2 linked regions of the Lytechinus pictus genome follow. The protein of the gene in region 1 purifies or fractionates together with the protein of each later gene. This does not show direct contact. Links are inferred from orthologs where the notes say so. Each region holds a gene or a part of one and is shown on either strand. Other genes may lie near its edges.

Region 1 (6,929 bases):
CTCATTACGCCACTGGGACAACCCCTTCAGAGAAACAAACAAAAATCAACTTTGAGCGGACGATCGCGGAAAATATGGGTGAAAAAAATTCGGCCCCCCCCCCTATTGGCGGAAGCTGGATCCGCCCCTGTACATGTACATGCCACAATCAAGTTATCGACCTATTTACTTAAATATAATACCCTGACGTTATTGAAATAGTTGATTGACCTCTAACCCCTAAATATATTTTTCATGGCCATTATTTATCCTTATATTTCAGAGTGAAATTATTGAACTTCCAGGTTTTCATTACAAATAGCCACCTTTCGTTCTATTTTTTACAAATAAAATGTGAATATAATGGATTAATTTCTTTTTTGGGGGAATCATGCATGGATATGTTATACAGATATTGCCTACCTAGAGTTTGAATATAACATTTCCTCTCCCCGACGGAGTTATATTTTTCCAAAGGGATTATATTTTGCCCGAAGCGCGCAGCGCTGAGGGAAAATATTCTCCCGAGGGAAAAATATAGCTTCGGAGGGGAGTTGAAATGTTATTTATTAAAACGATAGTCCAGGCAATATCTGTCATATTATATAGTCTATATGGATCAGAGATTAATTGCCTTCATCATCTGGCCCCAACCCGAAATTCTTGCTACAGCTCTGATCCGTCTACGTCATAATAGAAAAAAATTGGAAAATACATCAAGCGCGTTCTTCATGCAATCGACGCATTAAAGGGATGGTCCGGGCTGAAAGTATTTATAGCTTAATAAAAAGAGTAGAATTCACTGAGCAAAATGCTGAAAATTTCATCAAAATCGGATAACAAATAACAAAGTTATTGAATTTTAAAGTTTAGCAATATTTTGTGAAAATAGTCGTCATGAATATTCATTAGGTGGACTGATGATGTCACATTCCCACTTGTTCTTTTGTATTTTATTATATGAAATTAGGTTTATTCAAATTTTTTCCTCCAAGAACTAGAAAAATTGGATTGACAAATGATTTAGTGCATTAGATATTTATTGCTGCAACTTATTTCATTATAAGGGAGACATTATTATTCACACAAGTATGAAATAATGAAAAAAATATGATGTTATGTAATAACATAAGAAAGCGGAAAGTGGAGATGTGACATCATCATCCCACCTAATGAATATTCATGACTACTGATTTCACAGAATATTGCTAAACTTTAAACTTCAATAACTTTATTATTTGTTATCCGATTTTGATGAAATTTTCGGCATTTTGCTCAGTGAATTCTACTCTATGTATTATAAATAAATAATATAAATATTTTCAGCGCGGACCATCCCTTTAACACTAGCGCGTACATCAAATAAACTACATGATAACGCAACTTGTAAGCAGCGAGTGACGTCACCTTAGTGAATATAACGCCGCAATTGAAAATACAACGCAGTTATATTCACTGAGGTGACGTCAAAACCTCGAATATACCAAATGCGATCCTCGCAGCTATGATCACGTGATGGCGTATTGACCTATCACTGATTCGAACCTACATAAGCTATGTAATATAGATATTTATTAACTTTTGACCTTTGACTTTGGATATCAGAAGTGAATGATTATTCTTTATGATTATTTTTTGCCTTTTTATATATTCTTGCAAAATTGCTTTTGGCACCAAAATCACCAACATGCAGTGTTTTATCTCAGATATATCATTATACGATATATATCCTATGTAAAAAGGTCATTGACCTTTTGACCTTGAACTTTATGGATTAATATGCATTCTAGGTGATTAACTTTATCTTATTTGTCCTTCCTGTAATAAGCTGTGCATTTTGACACGACGATCACCAACCTAGCTGCCCGGGGGGGCACTCAGTATATAATGCATAGTGGGTATGTGCCGCGGAGGGGACCCCCATTACACTCAAATTTCCGTTCCGAGGCACAGCATTTTTGTCTTATTGAGAAAAAGAACAAAGAAAGCCGCTCCAGAGCATAGCATTTTCTTCTTCTCGAGAAAAAAGAAGAAAAAAATCCGCTCCAGGGCTTCGCGTATTTTCCGTTACGCCGTTCCGGTCGCAATTTTGGTGAAAAGCGGCCGCAGCTCGCTGTCCGTCGTGCCGCCGGATTAGCTCCATGTACGTTCCATAGGGATGCATACGCACTCGCACGCAGGCGACCCGTTCCAAGGACCCCCGTTTTCACAAACATTTGTAGTTCCGAAGCTCGTTCCGAGGACCCTCCTTTTTACAATGAGCCCGCTCCAAGGCCCCCGTTTTTTGTCTCGCCCGCGGCACACCCCTTCCACTTTTTTGGTCGAGTGCCCCCCCCCCGGGCCTAGCTGTGCCGTTCAATCTCAAAGATACTATTATACAGTAGCCTATGATACGTAATGTAAAAAAGGGTAATTGACCTTTGAAAGGCTTTGACCTTGAATGCTATTGTTTAATGTGCATTCTAGGTACACTATTTTATTTTATTTGATCTTCCTGTTAGAACCTCTGCATTTTGACGCCAATTAAGATCACCAACCTGCACCTTTTCATCTCAGAGTACCGTATGGTATAATGTATATAATAAAGGTCATTGACCTTTGAAAGGCTTTGACCTTGAATTTCATGGGTGAATGAGCATTTTAGGTGCTTAATTTGATTTTATTTGATCTTCTTTTAAGAATCTAGCTGTGCATTTTGACACCATGATCACCAACCTGTAATATTTTATCTGGGAGCTACCATTATACAGTATATTTGAAAAGGTCATTGACCTTTGACCTTGAAAAATCCCACAGACTTTCCCCAACCCGTATTCCTCCTAACTTTTTTGGTAAATGTTGACATCACCCATATACCTACTCAAATCAGTCCAAAAACCATTTCCAATAATTTCATTCCAGATGGTTACTAATATAATTGCGGGATACTAATGGTGCTGAAGTAAATTAAGTCAAAAAGGGGGGGTCAGTTACAAAATGAAGGTCGTTTTGGTTCAAAGAAGTCTGACAAGCAAAAAAAATAAAAAGGTTAGTTTCAACACGAAATTTTACATATATTTATCTAATTGACACACCTATACCAGAATTCAGGGGGTGCTGCCTATGAATAATAATACACGCAGCATATCCCCTGGGAAAATATGGGGGCAGCACCCCCGCTTCCTAGGTCCCGTGGGGAAAGAAGCTTCCTCTCAAGAAGGCTCCAAATCAAAGCAGTGGCAAAAATAGTCATTTTTTGACTGGTTGCCAACACGTACACCACAAGACAGAAGAAGAGGGCCCTAAGTTCTGCTCGGAGTCAGTCAATAGAATAAACTCAAGATGAAATAAACTCCGTAAGTCGTTATAACGAAAGAAATTTCACGAATTTTCGCCCATAGGGCTTTGTCAAGTTAGGATCAAGATTTGAAATTGCGTCATGATAAAAACAGTATGCGCGTACGTAGCTATAGCTAGTGAGAGAGAGAGAGGGGGGGGGGAGGAGGGGAGAGGAGGAAAGAATATATATAGGCCTATTATAATTATTATTATTATTATTATTATTGTTAGCATTATTATCATTATTATTAGTAGTAGTAGCAGTAGTATTATTGTTATTATTATTATTGTTATCATCATTAATATTATTATTGTTATTATTATTATTCATTATAGGCTATTTTTTTGAAGTCCCATAATAAGAAATCAGAGATTATATTATTTGACCGAGCCACATGATGATTGATAAGTAGTATATGACATAGAGATATATTACTTGTTGTAAACGGACCCCCCCCCCCCCCCCTCCACCTCCAAAAAAATTGTTTTCCTTCACGATTACCTGCACATACACGCAGCGAGCTAGCGCTCGCGGCCCGCGGCCCAGCTAGGCAGCTATCGCTAAAAATAGCGCAGCGTAGCGTCAAGGTAAAAGGTCAATTGATGTCAAAGACCGACCATGGCACCTGTCAAGACAAAGTTTTCGGAAGGTAAATGCTATGTTTTATGTGAATATTTCATTTTTATTTTTATCCTGCATGTATTATGCGGAGAGATACGTTAATTTGTATTTTGTAATACTTTTGTAATCTCTTTCTTACTCCGATATTTCAAGAATTGTTGAAAGATCGCACGTGAAATCCGTGAAATGCAAGCTTTGTTGGAATACGGTCCCACATGTGCATTCTCTCGTAGGCCTAGTAGTCGCTATAGTAATATAGTAATTAGTATAGTCACGTATTGTATTACCGGACACTATTCACTCTAGGCGACACCCCAATACTTACCCGTGCTAATAAACTGGGACTCCACTCACGCGCGTTTGGGCCTCCCTAGCTTAGAACTAAGCACTAATATCACCTTAAAAACTAAATCTACAAGGTATGTATAATCTATTTACAAATTTAATAATGTTTAATCGGTACTCACCGGTTCTTTTGTTGCATTTTCAGACCATTTCTCACAATTCTTCGTAAATATTTGCGGCAAATTTTGTCGCCATAGACAGCTTAGCGTCCATCTTTATTGATAAATGGAGCGCCCTTTACGATAGTTGTTAATGCCGCGGAGAAATCGTTAGGCATTTTGGCCTGTGTTCAAGGCGTTCTTTCTGTTTTATTTTTTATATTGAAGATTGTGCATTTGTTGAATAGCGCCGTCTACGTCAGGTATGAGATCGAGTGTATAAATACACTCTTCCAAAATAATTATGATTCCGACCTGGCGCTGTTTAACTTCAATCTCTTTCACCTAAATTAGCGATGAATGCTAGCATTATAAAATATATATTATTAACGTCTGACGAAAAGAATAACCAACCGATCAGCTGACGAGAACGCGAATCACGTGATCTTCATATCAGCTTCGATCGCGAGTCAGAAGAGAAGAGCAGCTGCCCAGAAAATCAGGAAAAAGCCGTGAAAATGTAAGTTCCCCTTCATTTCTTTCATTTTTTGTTGTTGCTAACGATGCATTTACACTATAAAATTATAATTTAAATAAGAGAAAGGAATTATAGCTTGTACTTGTGATATAATGTTTAAATATCCTGTTCTCAGAGATTTCTAACCAAAAATACTACTGATGTCGCCTATGAGGTCCATACATGTAATGTTGGACCTCATTGGTACTAGGAGTGACACTATTATAATTCCGGACGCGCATATTACTGCGTTCGAAAACCATTTCGTACGGTAAGACTTCCGCAATTCAGTTTCACAGAGCAATACATAGAACAGGATTGCAAAAACAAGGCGAAAAAAATCCAACTTTTAACTTATTATCTCTAAAATGACAGAAAATGCTTAAAATATCAAATAACATAGTTTTGCATTAACAATTGATATATTTTCTAACGGAAATATGGGTCTGATCTGCCGAATTTCAATCTCGTCCGCTCCTTCGATCGAATGATGAGGTGTGGTGTAAAAAAATGGGTGATCGTCGATGGCTAGTTCTCAAGGTACCCGTGCGCGAGGTTTACCGTGACTTTGTGAGTATAGAGCCGTCGACGATCGGCAGCGCATCGATAGAACTTGATGAGCGTCACGATACGAACGAGCATAATATTGGAAAGTTCCATGAAACATGCATCTAACAAGAAAAAATAAAGTAAGTTATCAAACACGAATTTATTACCAACATCTGCTCAGAATCGATATAAGAACAGCAAACAAAAACTTAGAATTTACTCATGATATGATATAAGAAGAAAAAATCACACAAATTTGTTCTTACATCATTATAATCAAGAATATCTTTACCCGTCCGGCGCGCGTTCAGAATCATGATGTAATTTGTCACGCACAAACATTATTGTTTTTCGTGGAGGGGTATGCAGCAAGTGCGATGCAAAGAAACAGTTGGTAAATATCAAATAAATTTATATTCATAATTTTCGTAATTGGAATAGCAACTAGCAAGTGCGAATTTTTCTTGAATGTATTTCCTCTAATTGTCATTTTCAAAGCACTGAAATATAGGTGTAGCAGAGCTGCCAACCAGTACGTATTTAGTATGTTTTTTGCAATCAAAATAAGACTGGTCAGGACAGTACGTTTTTTCTTTTAAAAATATGATTTTCATAAAACTTACACAATGTAATTTCAGGTAACTTGGTTTTTTTTTTTCAATCATTTTGTTAAAACCAGGGTGAGATATACACGTGTTTCAATGTTGTTTTTTTCATCTGCAAGAGCAGTGTGCATTTAAGCTTGCATGCAGCTTGAGCGCCTCGATGAGCGTGCATGCCACGCATTTTATTGTGAGATACATTTTTTGGGGGGAAAATACTTTTTTTTTATCACAGAATACAATTTTTCATTTCCAGAGGTTCCAGAGGTCTGGTGAAGAGGTGTAAAGAATACACTACCATACCTAACACGGGGCTCCACCGGGCCGTGGGCACTCGTTCAATGAACAAGGTTATGATATAGCCTTGTTCTCGGTTATGTGGAGAAATAAGGTTGGCAATTTTGGGCTTATTATTATCTCTTGTTCTTAGGGACAAATGATTGATTTTTTCAAATTGTCATTTTCCATTGATCACAACCACTCAATGAACAAGGTTATGATATATTGGGGTCGGGACAAGTCGGACTGCGAGCCGAGTTGTCCCACCCCTTTTCTTTTTTTTCCCCCCAATTTGTGTCTATTTTTCAGTCATTTCAAAATTTCTTGTAACAATTTCTTGGAACAAGACCTTCTTTCCTTGTGACCTCTGGTTAACTTTGTGAAGATGTAGATCTAACCAGCGGTAGATATACCGAAGGGTAGTACATTCAAGACAAAGTATCTCTTCTGACCATGGAACTCCAAACAAAAACCTAGATATTTCCTATGTTTTTCAAAATTTCCACATGATGGTATGCTGATTTAAGATCATATGTGAAAATGTTATCCCCTCATTCAAATAACATCACTAGCAACCGAGGCATCTTCGTACTTAAATTTGTTCTTGTACAAATGTGGAT
Region 2 (7,243 bases), on another chromosome or scaffold:
TCTTCACGGACCCTCATTTAGTATTGGGGAAGGTTTGATGAAAATCCACCAAAGTATAAAGTTATGAATTATTGAAGTTTCTATTTTATGATAAGAGACAAGCATGCAAATCCTCCGTATATTGTGTATATAAATACAAAACAAGTTTCTATCTTTAAAAATGAAAGTGTTTTTTATTTGTGTGGTAGATAATAAACAGTTGTGATCAAACATTTGTGAACCCCGCAACAAAATAAATGCACTCCTGTGTTGAATGTAGACAACAACACCACAATGTCTGGCGAGCGCCCCCCCCCCCCAAAAAAAAGAAGCTTTATTGAATGTAATATTTTATCACCTGACTTCACAATTAACTATCGAAAACGTGGAAGAACTTGAACTCTTTTTAATTATTCCAAAACTACTCAACGACAAATATAATTTCTCATCTTCTAAATATCAGAAAATGATTGAGAATACAATACACTGTATACATTTCAAGGATTAAAATTAATTCATATCGGCTGTAAATAGTGACCAAACGAATTAACTTTTAAATCTCAAAACTATCTATTAAAAGTGATCAGGATTAACTCTTAAATCTAAAAACTGTTCAAATATTTTAGCTTTATTCAATCCGGACGGTTGAATACGAAAAACTAATATTCGGTTGGATCTATTTTTTATTTTATTTAGAGTATACAGGCCATACAAAATCATACATAGTAATAGTATTTCTTTTCAATGAATCAGTAACTAATCTATTTTTATTTAATATAAGTATATACAGGAGCGGCGCCGTCTTTTGATACTGGGGCTAAGATGACATACAGTATGTTGGGGTTGTTGGTGTTCTTTTTTTTCCTTCTTCTTCTCATCCTCGATCCTCCTCCCCCTCCTTCCAACCATCCGTCTTCTTCTCCTCTTCCTACTCCTCCTTCTCCCTCTCCCTTCCTTTCTTCCTCCTTCCTTCCTTCCTAAAATCCTTCCTCCTCCATCACTCCTCCCCGAGCTAGCTCCTCCTCGTTGTTCTTCTTCTCCCCCCCCCCCTGCATGCTCCTCTTCTTCTTCTCTTTCTTCTATTTCTTCCGTTTTCATTGTTTTTTATATATTCTTTTTCTCATCTGTTTTTTTTTTCTTCACTATTAATTTTTGCACTATTTGCCCCTGAAAATGTATGGTAAATGCCTTGTTCAATTTCAAATCTGGATACAGATCAATGTGTTGATGAGATGCTTTTGTCTGGAACCCGGTCTGGAAACTACAATATCCCCCTCTTACGTTAGTTTTTTTTGCAAAATACGAAACTTTCTTTTATTTCCAAGAGTACCACGTGCACGGAATTAAATTATTTCCATAGATGCCCCATAGAATTAAAGATTGTGAATTGTGCGTGATATTTCACTTTATTACAGGGAACGTAAAATTAAGCATGACTGCCTAATTATTGCCATGCATTATGTTTACATTGCATTTTCATCCTTGAACAGCCGGCCCCGATCGTCGTAACATATCATTTGGGTACCGCGGGGGCCCCGGGTACATGCACCCTTTTAATTGATAGTTTGGTACATTAATTATTGTGCTTGTTAATATTCACATTTTAACAGTTCATGCCCGGTCTTTCTATGGAGAAATCTTCAATGTCCTCACTATGATCAGATCCGCACGCCCTTTTCAATCTGTGACGATCACGAGTCTATATGCGCGTGCGGCGAACACAGTAATTTTCCCGTTGTTCGCAGAACGCCCCTTATACCCACCCATATATTATGTGTTATCAATCCCCACACAAAATTATTATATTAAACGCAATGAAGGAGTATCTCTGAAATAGCTCAGACTTGTTTTATTTAATCAATTTGGTAATATTATATCGGTTCAGAAAATAAACTACATTAGACTTCATTCCAATTAACGTTCCCACGATACTTAGTTTAATTAGATTCGAAATTTGAAATACACAATTTTTGTTACTTTTTCCCATTATCTTGTCGGTCACCGATTCCGAAATGTTCCGATTTTTACTGAGTGACAAAATACGGAACTGAGCCAAAAAAGACTGCAGCAAATGAAAAAAGTTCTACGGGTCTCGCTTTGTCATGACTTTAATTAATAATTAATTTAAACTGTTTCAAAGTTTCTGTAAACAAGATTTAATAAAAAGTTAGGTGAGAGCTTTAAATCAAAATAATTCTTTTTTGGAGGTATGGTTTCTTCCCTATAAGGCTATATTATATCGATTCAGAAAATAAACTACATACATTAAGACTTCATTTTAATTAATAACGTTCCCATTTTTTATACTTAGTTTAATTAGGTTCGAAATTTGAAATACACAATTATATTGTTACCTTTTCCCAGACTTCTCGGTCACCGAAGTGTTCCGAATTTTAATGAGTGACAAAATACGAAACCGAGTAAAAAAAATGCAGCAAATGAACATGATTAAGCTTTAGCAAATAATTCAATTGCAAATAAAGTTAATCTAAGGATCTTGCTTTGTCATGACTTATTTCAAAGTTTCTGTAAGCGAGATAAAAAAAGTTATGCGAGAGATTAATCAAAATGATTCTTTCTTGGAGATTTGGTGGCTCTGATAAGAGCCGTTTGGTAAATAAGGCGCAAACCAAATTTACTTGGATGTGGTGTACTTGGTGACGGCCTTGGTGCCCTCAGAGACGGCGTGTTTGGCCAATTCACCGGGGAGGAGGAGACGGACAGCGGTCTGAACCTCACGGCTGCTGATGGTGGACTTCTTGTTGTAGTGGGCAAGACGGGATGCCTCACCGGCGATGCGCTCGAAGACATCGTTGACGAAGCTGTTCATGATGGACATGGCACGGCTTGAGATACCAGTGTCGGGGTGAACCTGCTTCAGAACTTTGTAGATGTAGATTCCGTAGCTTTCCTTTCGCTTCCTCCTCCTCTTCTTGTCTCCGCTAGGCCTGGGGGCCTTAGCCTTCTTCGATCCCTTCTTTCCAGCGGTCTGAGCTTTGGCAGGCATGACGATTAAGATTCTTACGAATACTGACAATCAACTGAATGCGACGAGTATTTATATCAAACGCTGGGTCCGAAAGCACCGGGTGCGTATGTAAATTAGGACCGTGTGCGCTCTAGCGTTCGCCAATCAAGACCAGCGAGTGACCCAGAGCTGTGTAGTGCGCAAGCGCTGTTCAATTACGTATGCAAATAGAGGTGGCGGGGATACCCAACGGTTTTACCCTTTGTTCGGTTGTTGAGTGGTGTATAAAAAACATATAGCTCCATGATAAAAAAAGGTAGAGTGGTATATAATGTGTGAAATATTAAACGCTATGCATATTCTTTTTAAATGCATTGAAGTTATTTCATTTATGAAATGTCAAACGAAATGATTTTATCAAGTCATATATCAAATTTATCGAAGCACACATGCAGGGTTCTGCAGTTATTGTGTATTTGTGATATCTTCTATTTCTTAAAACTTTTGTCGACATGACTGTTTTTTAAAACTTCATTTTTTATTTATGTATGGGCTTATGTTTTAAATTTAAGTATCACAACACAAGTTTCATGTTGTTTTTGTCTTTTTTACTTCTCGACGGTCTTGTCCACAATCATGTATCGGAAGGGCTACTATTACCAATACTATAGGCCTATAATACATGTTCACTTTGAATAAATGTTTAATTGACTGAAGTCATATTGGAAAGATCGAGCTATATATTTTGAGAAATTTCATTTTCAATCATGTGATCAGATAAGAACATTTTAAATTCGTCTAGGTTTTGGAAGATTTCGTCAACTGGATTTGGAGGTACACCAAAGAAGACACTACTTGAAACCCTGGGATTCTTGAAACCAAAATTCTTAATTAGATTCATAATGTTGTATGCTATAATGGCCTTATTACATTGGTCGATCAGCTAGATTTACCAACAATTTTTGGCAGGACCAAAGAAACTAGAATTCATATATTTTGGCCAATAATTAAGTCTATAAACCTTGATCAAAACTAAAAAACAGTATCTTAATTGTATCAAGGTCATGAAATCGTCACTAATTTCATCATTATCAATATTTTTGGTAGTGATAAAAACTGGGTTGTATGTCAGACAAAAGTCCCGATCGAGAGATGGGTCACATACTGCATGGCAAATTTCAGATTTTATACACGTAACATGCTCACTCGGGAGATTTTTTTTTATATAGCCCAAACATGTCAAAAATTAATGATTGATATTTGGAGTCAAAATGGGCTATGCATATAGTTTACGTATAAGATTCATGGCCGCGTGCGTACAAAACATCGCCGAATCTATGAAGTAGGAGAATTTTGCACTCCTGTAGCGTTAAAATGGCGCCGAAGTGAAAATTTAGCTTTGAACAAAATTATCATGCTGTTTTTCGATTTTATTAAAAGGCAAATTTGCAGTTAATGGCAAAGGAATAAACTGGCCTTTATACATGTTATATGTTTTCACCAACCCCAGTTAGTATATTTGGCCCGATATTTGGTCGCATTTCATAAGTTGGGTATGCAAAAAGCCAAGTGTGGCGGATGAACAATTTTCCCCACGTTGCCTTGGATAAATTGTTACTACATCAGATCTTGACCAAATTTATTGAGTATAAGATCTTATTTTGAAGCTAGAACTATAGGCTAAACATATTACTATTAATTAGATCAGTACAATATCAGAAACAAAAACTATATAGCACGTAAAGTTTGAAGTAACAGGGGTGGCGGAGCCGGTGGATGCGGTGAATGATGGAATGTTAATTAAATAACAACTTGATATAATAATTATGTAATATGTTTCTAGGCATTTTAAAATCAGGGAACAACTAAATGTTATATAAAATTGACAATTTTGAAAATATGAAGGAATGAAATACATGTGTATGTCAGCTCTGATCTGCAACCTAATCATTAGTAAACTGGAGATATTTGGTTGATTATCTAATTTGTAAACTTAATTTTTAGTACAAACGTTGTGTAATATCATTGCAACAAACATTTATACCAATGATGTAGTCATTTTTCCAAGCATATACATTGGGGCAAAAATGTTAAATTAAATATTGTTAATTAATTAGTGTACTTAATATGCATATAATAACAGATAATTATTTGATTTTTTTTGTTACAGATTTAATTATTAATGTTTCAAGATTAAAAGTGCAAAATATTATAGGGTGATCCAATGTTGCAGTAACTTTTGACACCATTTTATGTGCAGCAGGTCCAATTTGAGAAAAATCCATTTCAAAATTCATATTTACATCGACTTCTATGTAGTAATTAGCTGATTAGTCATTTTAAGGAAAAAATAAGGTATTTGAGACTTAAAGGACAAGTCCACCCCAACAAAAAGTTGATTTGAATAAAAAGAGAAAAATCCAACAAGCATAACACTGAAAATTTCATCAAAATCGGATGTAAAATAAGAAAGTTATGACATTTTAAAGTTTCGCTTAATTTCACAAAACAGTTATATGCACATCCTGGCTGGTATGCAAATGAGGAGACTATGACGTCATCCACTCACTATTTCTTTTGTATTTTATTACACGAAATATGAAATATTCTAATTTTCTCCTCATTGTCAAGTGATACAACGATTAATTCCTCCCTGAACAGGTGAAATTAGCATTGTTTAATACTATATGGTTCAGTCAAGTTGGTCCTTATTGTCAAATCTATAACAAATTAAATATTGTATAATTCAAACAATAAAAAACAAAAGAAAAAGTGAGTGATGGACATCATCGACTGACTCACCTATTTGTGCATATCACTGTTTTGTGAAAAATAAGTGAAACTTTAAAATGTCATAACTTTCTAATTTTACATCCGATTTTGATGAAATTTTCAGCACTATGCTAGTTTGATTTTTCTCTTTTTATTCAAGTCAGCATTTTCCTGGGGTGGACTTGACCTTTAAAACTTTGTCATTATTTACAGAATGGTAATACCTATAACATATCATTTTTTTGGACCAATTTTACCGTTCGCGAAATTGGACCACCTTATGACATGCGACCATTTGCATGAGAAGTGTAGGTTTTTGCATGGACCTATTGCGTAATAGGTCCATGGTTTTTGTAATAGGTTTATCACCGTTTTTCTTCTTTCTCTCTGAAATTCAACTGGGAATCGTCGCGTGTGCCTGTAATCCAAGTCACGTCTGCGTCTTTCGGGCGTCAAGATTACAGGTCTGACAATGGACCTATGTATATTGGCCGTGTGGGTCTATAACTATTGTTTTATTGCGCTTCACTGCTAAAATATTGGAACGGTAACCGTTTTTGTTCTTGGGAATTAAGAATTTTTTTTAAACATCCAATCTCATTGGAATTCTAGTGAGCGACTACAGGGAAGTTTACTTTAGGATTAAAAAAAAATACCCTACGGATATGATCTAAACTATAGACTATAGTAAAGTCTGATTAAAGACAATATTGCCTTATTGGAACCAAATGGAAGCCTTAGCTGTGGTGTGTTCATTAATTTAATTTCTTCCCAACCCTCTCACTAGGGCCCGTACATAATTATAACACATAAAGAGACATTCAAATTGTTTCTTTCTTGAATATTTGGTGGCTCTGAAAAGAGCCGGTTTTGTTGATGGGTTTGAAGAGATGAACTTCTTAACCTCCGAATCCGTAGAGGGTACGTCCCTGCCTCTTCAGGGCGTAGACGACGTCCATGGCGGTGACGGTCTTCCTCTTAGCGTGCTCGCAGTAGGTGACGGCATCACGGATAACATTCTCAAGGAAGACCTTGAGGACACCACGGGTCTCTTCGTAGATGAGACCACTGATACGCTTGACACCACCACGGCGGGCAAGACGACGGATGGCTGGCTTGGTGATTCCTTGGATGTTATCACGCAAGACCTTGCGATGACGCTTGGCGCCTCCCTTTCCGAGTCCTTTACCTCCTTTACCACGTCCAGACATGATTAGATTTCTTTAGTATCGACGAGTCGAATTGACGTGGTAGGATTTCGACCAGTATATATACCCCTATTCCGGACGTCGAAGGAATAGTAATGCTCTCTGGATCAATGAGCTCTCTCTGTTCATCAAACGTAGAGGGCGATATTTTAAAACATGTTATTTGCATCCGTGTATCAACGGTATCTTGAAGTAGCAATGTAGTACTAAAATACATGAGTTATAATGCTCGAAATGTTAGAATTAGCAAAAATGTTGTAAACGCACAGTACAAATGACAGTTTCGCATTGTTTTATACCAACATTCTTATCATTT

Evidence for each region. The genes of interacting proteins can lie anywhere in the genome.
Region 2: the proteins of mortality factor 4-like protein 1 (region 1) and late histone H2B.L3 purify together in Homo sapiens (affinity purification with mass spectrometry, with the first as the bait; 3 studies listed by BioGRID). This does not show direct contact. The link is inferred for Lytechinus pictus from reciprocal best matches to the Homo sapiens genes MORF4L1 and H2BC21.

The regions. Positions count from the first base shown.
Region 1 is NC_087249.1:20,518,492-20,525,420, forward strand, and holds the start of mortality factor 4-like protein 1, read left to right. Parts: upstream 1-3,856; 5' UTR 3,857-3,916; coding exon 3,917-3,947; intron 3,948-6,929. UniProt on the Homo sapiens protein: Component of the NuA4 histone acetyltransferase (HAT) complex which is involved in transcriptional activation of select genes principally by acetylation of nucleosomal histones H4 and H2A.
Region 2 is NC_087254.1:16,320,896-16,328,138, forward strand, and holds the start of late histone H2B.L3, read right to left. Parts: upstream 3,031-7,243; 5' UTR 2,987-3,030; coding exon 2,619-2,986; intron 1-2,618. Other genes in the region: histone H4, read right to left, coding at 6,619-6,930. UniProt on the Homo sapiens protein: Core component of nucleosome. Nucleosomes wrap and compact DNA into chromatin, limiting DNA accessibility to the cellular machineries which require DNA as a template.